Daphnia pulex: one gene and its partners. The protein of the gene in region 1 binds, or shares a complex with, the protein of each later gene. Links are inferred from orthologs where the notes say so. Each region holds a gene or a part of one and is shown on either strand. Other genes may lie near its edges. The genes, in order: eukaryotic translation initiation factor 3 subunit D-like, eukaryotic translation initiation factor 3 subunit G-like and eukaryotic translation initiation factor 3 subunit K-like.

Region 1 (4,177 bases):
AATCAAACAAAGTAAAGCTGTATAAGTAAACTGGAAGCTTCATAAGTGCTTTATTCCATGTAACGATCATTACAAACGTAGTACTGTTGTAGATTGGGGAATTGGTGGAAGAGCTGTTCTTTTGTTTGTATCAGCCGTTACTCGTCTTCTATTCATGTGTAAAAAATAAATACATTATTATTTACCATTTCGTGGTTGACGTTATGAAATCATGCGTTTAATAGCGCCTTTTTTAAAGCTACCTTAAGTCATGTCGCGTATCTAATTAGGTTTTTTTCCCCCAAGAAGCCAAGCACTTCCACTAGTGGTTAGATATTATACATATATACAAAGCTCGAGCTACGAATTCAAGCAAAACGTAACACGGCGTACAAATGCAGGGAAATTTGATTAACTGCTTGGACGTGTTTATTTAATCTTTGCTAGTAAAAAAAAAAGGGAGGCCAACACCCAAGCAAAAAAAGCAAGCCAGCAGTTACACACGCACGTTACGATATTGATTGGTTACAAACCTTCGCCTTCTTCGAAAAATGCTTCATCGTCGCTCTCAAACGTGTTATCGGGCACCTTGTAAAGGCGGATGACGGGCTTGTTAGGATCCTTCACCAACAAATATTTGCCATCCTCTTCCTTCATACACAAATCAATAATACAACGGAGAATGCCCCAAGCATTGTCCATGTTAAGGTTGATTTGCGATGCGAAATCTGACGGGCGGAACTGCTGTGTTCCAAGGATTACATGACGCGATGTATCTCGTAAGTGCATACGGGAAACATATCTGAAGTAAACAATATTAGTTACAATAATATTCGAGGGACAACAGGAGTCTTCACATACCCGAATTTAATCCAATCAGAGTTGGCGAGCAGAGCTTGCACAGTCCATTTTGCTAGCTTGCATGCATTATTCTTCAGCTCGTTGGCCAGAACAGCACCTCGCTGAGTGTCCAGTTTCTGGCGCCATTCGACTCCACCAGACAACTTGAAGTACAAAATCATTTTAAAGACACAGTTTCATTACGAACAGTGAATATGCATACCCTTGAGTCCCATTCATTAAGAGCTTTGATGTTGATAAATTGGTTATCACCAGCCGATCCAACGGTGACAGCGTCATGTTCGCAACGTGCCACCAGAACAACACCCCCATCTAAATCCCATTTACGGTAACGGTAAGCCACCGAGGCAACTTCACCTACTTCATCTTCCGAAATGAAGGGATTAGGCTCATCCAATTTGAATTTTTCTTCTCCCTACAAGATTATGAAACGACAAAATTAGGGATTTATGCCATTTTATAAAACCTATTATAAATACCATCTTCAGGACTTGTTGGGATAAATTATGATTAATAAAGGTCGCTTCTAGTGCCAAATTACGTGGGCTATTGATGCCCTCTTCTTGAGGAGGTTCATTGGATGTTTCGGATACAGTTAGCAGATCTAGGGAAAAGGGAAGATTATAGATCATTGCAAACTCCCTCAGTGGCCAAAAGGTACGTACCAAATTCCGAATCATCACGTTTATCAAAAAACAGTTTGCCACCAACTTTCTGGACGATTATGTCCCAACTATAGTTGGAGCGAATACTGCACATCAAAGTAGCCAAGATGGAATCAGTTGCGTAGACATTACCCTCAGTTTTTGCCAACTAATGAATTTGAGAATTAGCATACTACCACGCGTAAGACTTGAATGTGACTACTGTTTCTTACTTTGCGGATAATGGGGTCATCAGTTGTGGTGACCTTGTGAAAAATACGATCAATTCTTTGCAGTCTTCGTTCATTTTTCACAGTTACGCGGTCGTACTGCTTATCATAAAACTCGAGTTCACCACAAGTAAGTCTGGAAAAATAAAATAATATCATTATTTTAAAATCAGCATGTGAAAGGTTTTAGTTTAAATAGTTGATTACAAATCAGAAGCTTCCTTGCTAAGACGCAGAGAAAGTTTGTTGAGCCTGGGGAAATCCATCTCTTCAATGATTTTCCATGAAGGCTGAACAATAACTGATGATTCACGGTTTTTAACCTGAATTTGGCCCTACAAGTTTTTAAAAAATGAGTATGAGACTGAATAATCGGTAAGGTGAGAAGCTTTACTTGACGAGGTCCTCTATTATTCCACTTGTTCCTAGTCTGTCTCATTCGGTTATCCTTCATCTTGCCACCTTCAAAGAAAATGTATAAACAATCTGTTGCTATTAATTGCTATTTGAACACTTTACCTTTAAGTGGCACAGGCTGAGAATTCCTAAAGTTTTGTCTGCCTCTTGCAAGCCGTTGGTTGCGAAGGAATCTTCCTCTAGCATACATTGGTCTTGGAGTCCTTGCAGTATCCACAAGCTGAAAGCTGTTCTCTTCCTCATCATGCAGATAAGCATACTGGCTTCCACCAGCCCCTCCAGAGTATTTTCCACCACCATACTTGCGGTCTGTAAAGGAATAATTGATGCTGCTTCCACCAGCCCATTCCGACATCTAATAAATTAAACAAAACATCAGAAGAAGTTAATACAAAATTCGGCAATGAAACGTTACCTTCGAGAATGGTTGATATGGCATATCTTTGTAGCGGTCGGGAATACCTAAAGGTCCCCATCCGTCATTATTGTCTTGAGTCGCTGGTGGAACAAAATGCGCCGCCATGTTATACAATTTAACGTGACCTTATGAAAATAACTTTTCAGAATTTAGTCGTAGGCACTTTCTCACTAGACCGGCTGGCTGACAGCTTGCTACAAGTTAGAACATGGTAATCGCCATTTTAGTACCGGATGCTACGTATACCACTGTTGCCATTGTTGAAAATGATGTTTATACCTTTCTGCCGCTTTACTTTTTTCCACTGTTTTCCTAATAATTCCGAATTAGCATATCTTTAATTTCAATCACAAATTTTTAATTTAGACGCAATTATAATAAGATACTGAAGTATGAAAATCTTAAATCAGCTAAAAAATACAAAAAATATAATAAAAAAATGGCCAGAATACTAAATGACTAAATGTATTCTGATCTGGAATATGGTGTTTTTTATAAAATCCCTCCAGAGTCAAGCTCAGACTCAGATGAAGAAATATGTTACATTACTTTAGAAAGTTACACCAGATTGAACGTAAGATCACGGAAACCCCACACTTCATTAAAATATAAGTAAGCCCACTAGAGAGAAATGTTTTTTAATTACATATTATTGTTGTCTTTTCGAAGATAGCACAAATTTTCTTTCGAGAGTAGAGAATCATTACTTTCTCCTCCATGTATCTTCGTTTTTTAAATGAATGACGTATCAATCTTAATTTTGCGAAAGAGGAACATAAAGAGGAATTGTGAGGTAAGATTTTTCAGTATTAGAGTGATTAGAGAAACTGTGGATATTCTGTACAGGGCACGTGTATTCTTTCAGCTCTTAAGAATGATTAACCGTTCGATCTGGATATTTTCTAATGGGCCACTGTGCAAATATAGATATAGACTACATTATAATTCAGAGACCTATTCAAAATTTTATAATTCATCGACAAACGGGACGTTGCTCAGGTTTCCAATGGCAGCGACAGTTAGCTTGGCAGAAGCCAACCGGGAAGCTACAGCGTTGACGTCAGCAATTGAAACATTATCGACAGTAGAAAGAAGATCAGCCCGGTTGAGAAGCGCTTGCAGAGCCAACTCTTCAACTAACACACCAGTGTTCTCTTTGGCCATCAACAAGTCGGCTTTAAGTTGGGCTTTTGCACGGCTCAATTGGCTTTCGTTGACTGAAGCTGATCGCAAAACTTTTGTAGCGGCGGAAACAACTTTGCCGGCATCTGAGGCTGGGGCAGCGGCCACGAACCCAAATAGACCAGCATCGGAGTAGTTCAAATTCAAGGAAGAAACTGCACCAGCACCCAACACTGCTTGGTTTAGTTTTGATCCTGCTCCAGAACCATATTTAACTGGGATTCCTAGACAGTAACAAAGGAGTTATTTTGATAGACTTTTTAATTGTGGGAAGAAGGGGAATATGATTACCTGCACCCAATGCTCTCTGAAGAAGAGCAAATGCAACCATGGCTTTCGTGTCAGCCAGAGAAGCTCCGGGAGCAGCTACAGCCACATATGCTAAAGAACTGCTCGTATCCACACGTACTTCTCCTCCGTGTACTTTCGAAGGAGCCCCCGAGCAA
Region 2 (3,914 bases), about 7.6 Mb from region 1:
CGCCACTATTTTGTACGTCGGTTCGGCCTTGGTTGGCGTAGGAATGGCTTCAACCTTCGCAACAGGCTTCATATGGACCGAAACACACCTGCTGGTAACTAACCGGATTTCTGCGGCTTTCTCAGTTGCTTCTTCAATGGGAGAGATGATATTCCCAACGGTACGTTAAATTTAAATGCTAATGATTTCCACTACGTATTTATAACCCGTCTGTTTTGTTTACCGTGTTGATACAGGTAACAGGCGCATTGATCGAGTCGAATCCACTTTCCCTGATGTACATAGTTCTAGGATGCACCATTTTTATCACGACAGTCTTTTTTGTAGCCTGGTACCTGGCAAAACGTAAAGGACGAGGCTTTAGCAGTAACAGCAGGGGCTATCATCTTGCACGTCAAGCCGAGGATGAATCAGCGCAAAACTAGATAACTTTACTTTTTTTTCACTTAAAAATAATGTTTAGGTGAGGTAATCCTCATTCCCTTGATGTTTAGCTTAGAAAGACAAAAGAGAAAGGTGAAAATTCGGTTCATGTCTGTGATAGAGGGTTGAAGAGCTTGATTGGAATCCATTTGCGTGTATTTTTTTTATCCCTTTACATGATCGTAGCATCCAATATTTGATGAAGGAATTTTAGGCTTTTTTCACTGTGTTCCCGATGGTCTGTTAAACGATTGAAAAGAGAAAGATCAGTTTCATTTGACTCGTCAATTTAAAGAACTAAATTGTTAAAAAATAAAATTTTAAAAATTCCAGTCATGAATTTCAAATTCAGCTCACAACTATTTTGAATGAAATTAAGTGAATTGAGAGCTAACTTACTTAGACCATTCGACAGTCAGGATAAGATGGTCGTAACCAAAACCATTCAAGGTCTTGATAGCTCGTTCGGCGTCTTCTCGTCGTTTGTAGCTGACAAATGCAAAACCTCTGGATTGGCCAGTGTTTTTGTCCTAAAATTCAGTTTGAAGCGGTGCCATAATTTTTACAAAATGATAATTAGTGAATAAATTTGAGTCTAACCTTTGAGAGGAAGATGCGTGAGATTTCGCCAATACGGCCGAACAATTCTTGAAGATCGGAATCGCGAGCGTTTTCCGAGAGGTTGGTTACTCGTACAGTGCACCCTTCATCAGCTGTTATCGGGAAAGAAAAGGGTAATCATTAAATAATGTTTTTCCTATGTATGTTTTCTATTACTTCTCCGGTGGTTTTAATAATATGAAATAAACTACTATGAAGAAACTGTATCTTACTTCGTCGACCCATAGCCATAGTCTCTCCTTTTCTGTTGCCACCATCACGAAGTGCAGGTGCAATATAGGCGCTTCCTTCTTTACCACCCTTGGCTTGCGGTCCTCCAGCAGCAGCTGCGGCAGGAGGCGGGCCGGCCTTCTTCTCCTCAGCCTTAATTAAAGAGATATAGAGCAAAATTAGCAAGAGTTCAATTCAAAATAAAGAAAATGTGTTTACCTTATTGAGTGCTTCTTGGACAGGCAAAAGTGTGTCCTTGTAAGGACACTGTGTTGTCCAATGGTCCTCTTTACAGATACGACACTTAACAATGCCCTTCTGCATGCTTTTTAACTTCATAAGAGGGTCATCTTCCTTGTTATCAGGATCCTCTTTGTTCGTAATAAACTGTCAAAGTAAAAATGGTAATTAGCATCCAACGGTTTTGATAGATCAACTGAGAAAAGAAATACCTGCATGGCTACATCTTCAGATACAATTGTTGTTGCAGGGTTTGGTCCTGGTTTATCTTCCTTGGAAAGACCAAATTTTGGCCAACTTTTACGCTGGGCAATGGCTTTAGCTACATACCTTTTCTCTATTTTGTAAGTACGCACCACCTTGAACTTCCTGTTATCATCATCAAGACCATACTCTGTGACAATTTTCAGCCCATTTTTGTATTCTTCAGTGTTAGGGGGTAAACCGAGACCTAAGGAATAATACCGGCATGATTAAAGAAAATCTTACATTAATTACGGGGAAGCGGCATTACTAACCATCGATATCCTCAACGTCATCGGCCCAACTGGATTTAACTCTGAAATCATATCAAGATTGTGTTGTATTTTTAATATTTGCACATTAATTTGTCTCATTTCACTTACTCATTATCAGCAACCGGCATTTTTCTTGGAGAAGATTGATTACGTCAAGTAAATAATCAAAAAGTAGAAAATTCACTGCTATTGCAGAAATGTGTCAGCAAGCAGCCATTAGAACGTGTGTAGAGCGACATTGCCAGTTTTGAAAAATTCATTTCGTAATTTTGACTGCTTTTACAATTTCGTCTGCTCTTCTTCGAATACAATCCCGCCGTTTATGAGATTCCGGCACGTGGAACTCGAATACAGCAAAAATGGCTAGCTTACCACAGAAAAAATATTATCGACAAAGAGCACACTCCAATCCTATCGCAGATCACTGTTTTGACTAGTGAGTATCTTATTTCCAGTTTTCGATTTATCATTAAGTCATTTTCTAACCCAATTTGTCGTTTGAAGTCCTGTCTCTCCCAATGACATGAAATGGGATGAGCTCTATCCTACATTCAGCAAAGATGGAATAATGAAACACAAAGTTCAGTTTGCTGATATTGGATGTGGCTATGGCGGTTTATTGAGTATTTTTATCACATTTTGCCAATAAAATATGTGGAAAATTAATTTTGTATTTTTTTTTAACAGTATCATTATCCACCATGTTCCCAGAGACTTTAATGTTAGGAATGGAGATTCGTTTGAAAGTTTCAGAATATGTCCAGGATCGCATAAAGGCGTTGAGGATTTTGCATCCAGGTGATTACGGAAATGTTGCCTGCTTAAGAAGCAATGCCATGAAGTACTTACATTTATTTTGTTCATTTACTTGGGCATGTTTGCTTAATTTATTCTATGCTACTAGGTACCTCCCTTGCTTTTTCGATAAAGGACAATTGACAAAAATGTTTTTCCTCTTCCCTGATCCTCATTTTAAGAAGGCCAAACACAAGTGGCGTATTATCAATGACACTCTCTTGGCTGAATATGCCTATGTTTTGGCTGAAGGGGTAAGTAGGCAGGCCTAGAACGGCCCTTCTTTAGCTACTTGATGTAGATATCTTGTGTGATTAATTAAATTTTACTTTAGGGTTTGGTTTACACAATTACTGATGTTAAAGATCTTCATGAATGGATGGTTATGCATCTAGACCAACATCCATTATTTAAGAGACTAACCCAGGAAGAGCTGGTTAGTTATACTTTATAATTAAATAGCTATAAAACTACAAATTCTTTTTGCGGTATCAGGATCAAGACATTGTAGTTCCAAAACTGTACGAATCAACGGAGGAGGGCAAAAAAGTCACGCGAAATAGTGGTGATAAATTTCTTGCTGTATTCAGAAGAATTCCTGATCCATTCGTACTTGAAGAAAACAAGTGCTAATGTATACAAATTTGTTTGCCGGTTCCCTGCTCGTCACTTGTATTGCTCCCAATGGAACTGTTTGCTGGAATTCACATAATCAACCAGCTTTAAGCTGCCATTCAAAATAGGTGACCCACGTTTTATGTATGCATCGCCCATGCGCAGAACAGACAAATTTTCCAAGATCAATAGTTGTTGACAAAGAACTCATAAGGTATGTACGGTATTTTGTAACTGAAAAGGGAGCGCGCGCAAACGTGTCAAATGACGAATGGGCACTTTGAATTAAAGTTTCATGGAAATAAATTTAACATTCTCTTTTTTGGCAATCCATTTGTAGATCTGTTTGACTGAAGGGTCTTTTATGAATGATTTCCTGATTTGTAATGTTTCTAGTTTTCAAAGGGATTAACTTGTATCTTTTTGTGGAGCTTGAGTTCTTATTGATTCATTTGCTCATACGATCGATACGTTCAATAATCTGCTTCATAG
Region 3 (3,057 bases), on another chromosome or scaffold:
TTTGATTAACAAATAAGCCGACATTCCGTGTGGCGTATTGTTTTAAATAGCAATTTACAGATTTAGAACGTAGGGTGCAGAAGCAGGAGCAGCTCCGAACGATTTAAACGACGAAATGACGATTGGCATCGAGCCCATTCGAGGTTCTAGATAAGGCACACGAGTCATGGTTTGGGCAGGACACGTCGTTAAATACCTTAACTATGCTGGGCTCGTCCTCTGTAGAGCGAGGAGAAACAAGCTACTTTTAGAATCTTCCTGACCCGTCATGCGCTCGGTGCCAAAGCGGATTCGTCTGTGTGTTTAACGAGTTCTACTACTAGAAATAATTAAAATTGTTGTTCCAAACCTTTTTCCTCCACAGGGCACAATGGCTGACGAGGACAGGTAGCCCCGGATGCAAGATCGACCACACCGAGCTTCGCAATTGGGAATACCTTGCACGGCCCGAGTTCCGCGGATTCAGCATCCGTTTTTGAAGCGAATGAAAATGGTTTTTCTTTGTTTTTTCAATGTCCCGCTAATCATTTAAAACATCCACCAATTCACTTGTCAATGTAGAGGCACATGCCCACACCATATCGGCCAAAGCAGAATCGAATTTCAGAACTTTTAATTAGATGCTGCTTGAGAGGAAAACAGATTCCGGGTGTAAATACGGCGATGGGATTCACTGCTTGGGTGGTTTAACGATCATCAAATTCAAACATGACAATTGTGTATATGAAGCTGTTACAAAACAGAAATACACTGCCCTTGGAATTGTTTGTTTGTTGGTTTTTCTTTCTTCCTGTTTGCAGATCGGTCAAAGACAGTTTCACTTTTAAATGCAGTGTGACATGATTCCAGCCACGTTTTCAAATTCGATCTTCTCAGTGATGTTTTTGGTCTTGACCAAATCTTCTTGCGACGTGATGAACACACGGCCGTTGCCCAGGTCCTTCCAGCTGCACTTCCCGACCCATTGTTTCAAAACTTGATCTGAAAAGAGAGGTTTTTAAAATTAAAATGTCGAAAACCATGTTAAGAGGGAATACATGGATAATATTGCCATTACCGTTGACATTGCCAAGAAGTTCTTTTAATACCGGAACTTCAATAGTTTGATAGGTAATGTTGACAACATGAGCAACAAACTTCCTAATAGCATCTTCAAATCCTTGAACAGTAATAATTAGGTCACCACATTTGGCCAATTCCTCCCAAAACTGCTTGAATTTGCACGTTTCCAGCAAATCAGCTAGGACCATTACTCTGCTCACTTGAGGTTCTTCCAACTGAAAAGTAAAAAAATTAATTCCTATTAAATATATTAGATTAAACAATCATATTACATACCCTATCTTGAGTCAAAAGGCATTTGCACAGCAAGAAGTCTGTGTGAGGTAAATTGGTCATTGCCTTCAGTAGGATCAGATTAACAATGTTACTGCGGTAGAAATTTGGGCCAAATTGGTACAATCGCAACACACTTAGGTTGGCCTCTAGGTCATACATATTTTCTTGTGCTTGCAGTTCAACATAGCGTTCTAGCTTCTGAAGATTGTCGGGATTGTACCTAGAAATAAGAGAACAAACCGCCATTGTTCATTACAGTGTTCCTCAACTATGCAGATGGGGTTAACTTTTTCAGATTATTTTCTCTTACCTTTCAATTCCTTGTAGCATAGAAGCGATTTCTGTTTTCATCTTTTCGGCCATTATAATGAACTGTTATTGAAATTGTTAACAATCAGTAACTAGACTTTGACGGATGACGGAAATGTGGCTTTAGCAGACGCTTTCGGCCTAAGAGGCTCTGTTGCCATTTAAAGCATTATCAGCTAAGTGAAGGAGTGGAAACTTTCCATTTTCACTCTGCGATAAAAGTCGAGAATGAAACAAATAGAACGATTTTTTTTTGAGCTATAATTTAGGGCGAAAACCCTCATAAACCCCTCAGTCGGAAAATAACTCCGCTCCTTGGTAGGTGGAGCGGGTGGAGCTGTGGAGCTTCTTTCAACCAATGAAAGTGATTCGAATTTCCGCCAATTTTAAAAGTTGAAGATGTAGCTGACATTTAAATCTTTGAAAAATCTTTGACAGAAGATATTTTCACGGTACACTTAGCACTTAGCAGATTAGGCGATGGTCAAAATTCAAATGATTAAAAAAGACGACAAAAAATAAAAACTAATAACTGTTACTTGCTGCCATCAGTAACTAATTTTAATAATGGTTGCTCAAACATGCTCTATGAACCCTATTTCCCCGAGGAATTCCGAGCAAACATCAAAATGCCACCTTTATAAGATACCGAGAGAGAACATATGAGATTTCCTCGTGTTGTTACTCAAGAATAATTAAAAAAAAACAGTACCGGTAAATTACCGATATTAGGCTAATTACCGGCGGTAATTGAGTGGTTTTATCATAAAAAATGTATTACATTGTACCTTTTTATTTTTTTAACTAATAATTAGTAAGGGTGACGTATTTCTAATTCAAGTTCCCAATTGTTCTTGGTCAAAGTTTCTTCCCATTCGATGGAATCTTCAAACGTTATCTTATCGCAACGTTCCAAAATCAGTTTCTTTAGAGGGATATTCTGTTGTAAAAAAAGGTTCACACCGTATTTAGTTACTTCGTTACAGTGAGTTAACCACAATCTCTCAAGATGACGAAAGGAATTGACATGCGTTGCTTTTCGTATGATTTTGTCAGTTAGGTTATTCAAAAGTTTTATGGAAATGAATGATAGTAACGGAGAAGACAATAAGATTAACACAATTTCTGCGGGGACAAAGGAATGAAGCGAATCATCAGAACATAACATCAATTCTTCCAGATGTTTTAAGATAGGAATTTCCCTTTTATTTCCCGATTTTTGTTCTTCTTCTTTAGGCCAACGATCAAATTTGCTGCGCATATGAAGGCAAAGGTATTGAAGCTTGTGGCAAAATTGCATTATGGTTAAAATGTCTAAGTCAAGGAAGAAAACGTCAAGTTCTAATTTTGTCAAGGAATTCCCAAATTTTTTGAGAAGGGGAAGAACTCCTCCTTCAAAAGTGATACCTC

The links.
Region 2: eukaryotic translation initiation factor 3 subunit D-like (region 1) and eukaryotic translation initiation factor 3 subunit G-like share a complex: the UniProt entries of both Homo sapiens proteins name them as parts of the eukaryotic translation initiation factor 3 (eIF-3) complex. The link is inferred for Daphnia pulex from reciprocal best matches to the Homo sapiens genes EIF3D and EIF3G.
Region 3: eukaryotic translation initiation factor 3 subunit D-like (region 1) and eukaryotic translation initiation factor 3 subunit K-like share a complex: the UniProt entries of both Homo sapiens proteins name them as parts of the eukaryotic translation initiation factor 3 (eIF-3) complex. The link is inferred for Daphnia pulex from reciprocal best matches to the Homo sapiens genes EIF3D and EIF3K.

What each region holds. Positions count from the first base shown.
Region 1 is NC_060023.1:3,616,111-3,620,287, forward strand, and holds eukaryotic translation initiation factor 3 subunit D-like, read right to left. Parts: upstream 2,801-4,177; 5' UTR 2,655-2,800; coding exon 2,547-2,654; intron 2,487-2,546; coding exon 2,234-2,486; intron 2,177-2,233; coding exon 2,109-2,176; intron 2,050-2,108; coding exon 1,922-2,049; intron 1,851-1,921; coding exon 1,718-1,850; intron 1,654-1,717; coding exon 1,506-1,653; intron 1,445-1,505; coding exon 1,320-1,444; intron 1,256-1,319; coding exon 1,043-1,255; intron 984-1,042; coding exon 841-983; intron 782-840; coding exon 513-781; intron 191-512; exon of another isoform or gene 149-190; coding exon 138-148; 3' UTR 27-137; downstream 1-26. Other genes in the region: L-allo-threonine aldolase-like, read left to right, coding at 1-25; cytochrome b-c1 complex subunit 2, mitochondrial-like, read right to left, coding at 3,516-3,955, 4,023-4,177. UniProt on the Homo sapiens protein: mRNA cap-binding component of the eukaryotic translation initiation factor 3 (eIF-3) complex, a complex required for several steps in the initiation of protein synthesis of a specialized repertoire of mRNAs.
Region 2 is NC_060023.1:11,177,223-11,181,136, forward strand, and holds eukaryotic translation initiation factor 3 subunit G-like, read right to left. Parts: upstream 2,258-3,914; 5' UTR 2,141-2,257; coding exon 2,121-2,140; intron 2,054-2,120; coding exon 2,013-2,053; intron 1,946-2,012; coding exon 1,707-1,945; intron 1,642-1,706; coding exon 1,474-1,641; intron 1,408-1,473; coding exon 1,257-1,407; intron 1,246-1,256; exon of another isoform or gene 1,137-1,245; coding exon 1,024-1,136; exon of another isoform or gene 954-1,023; coding exon 823-953; exon of another isoform or gene 664-822; coding exon 645-663; 3' UTR 562-644; downstream 1-561. Other genes in the region: flocculation protein FLO11-like, read left to right, coding at 1-160, 237-425; tRNA (guanine-N(7)-)-methyltransferase-like, read left to right, coding at 2,372-2,448, 2,517-2,635, 2,700-2,853, 2,917-3,061, 3,142-3,243, 3,303-3,440. UniProt on the Homo sapiens protein: RNA-binding component of the eukaryotic translation initiation factor 3 (eIF-3) complex, which is required for several steps in the initiation of protein synthesis.
Region 3 is NC_060028.1:2,216,379-2,219,435, forward strand, and holds eukaryotic translation initiation factor 3 subunit K-like, read right to left. Parts: upstream 1,811-3,057; 5' UTR 1,702-1,810; coding exon 1,649-1,701; intron 1,559-1,648; coding exon 1,339-1,558; intron 1,278-1,338; coding exon 1,058-1,277; intron 982-1,057; coding exon 824-981; 3' UTR 702-823; downstream 1-701. Other genes in the region: acylphosphatase-2-like, read left to right, coding at 365-479; uncharacterized protein LOC124209413, read right to left, coding at 2,459-3,057. UniProt on the Homo sapiens protein: Component of the eukaryotic translation initiation factor 3 (eIF-3) complex, which is required for several steps in the initiation of protein synthesis.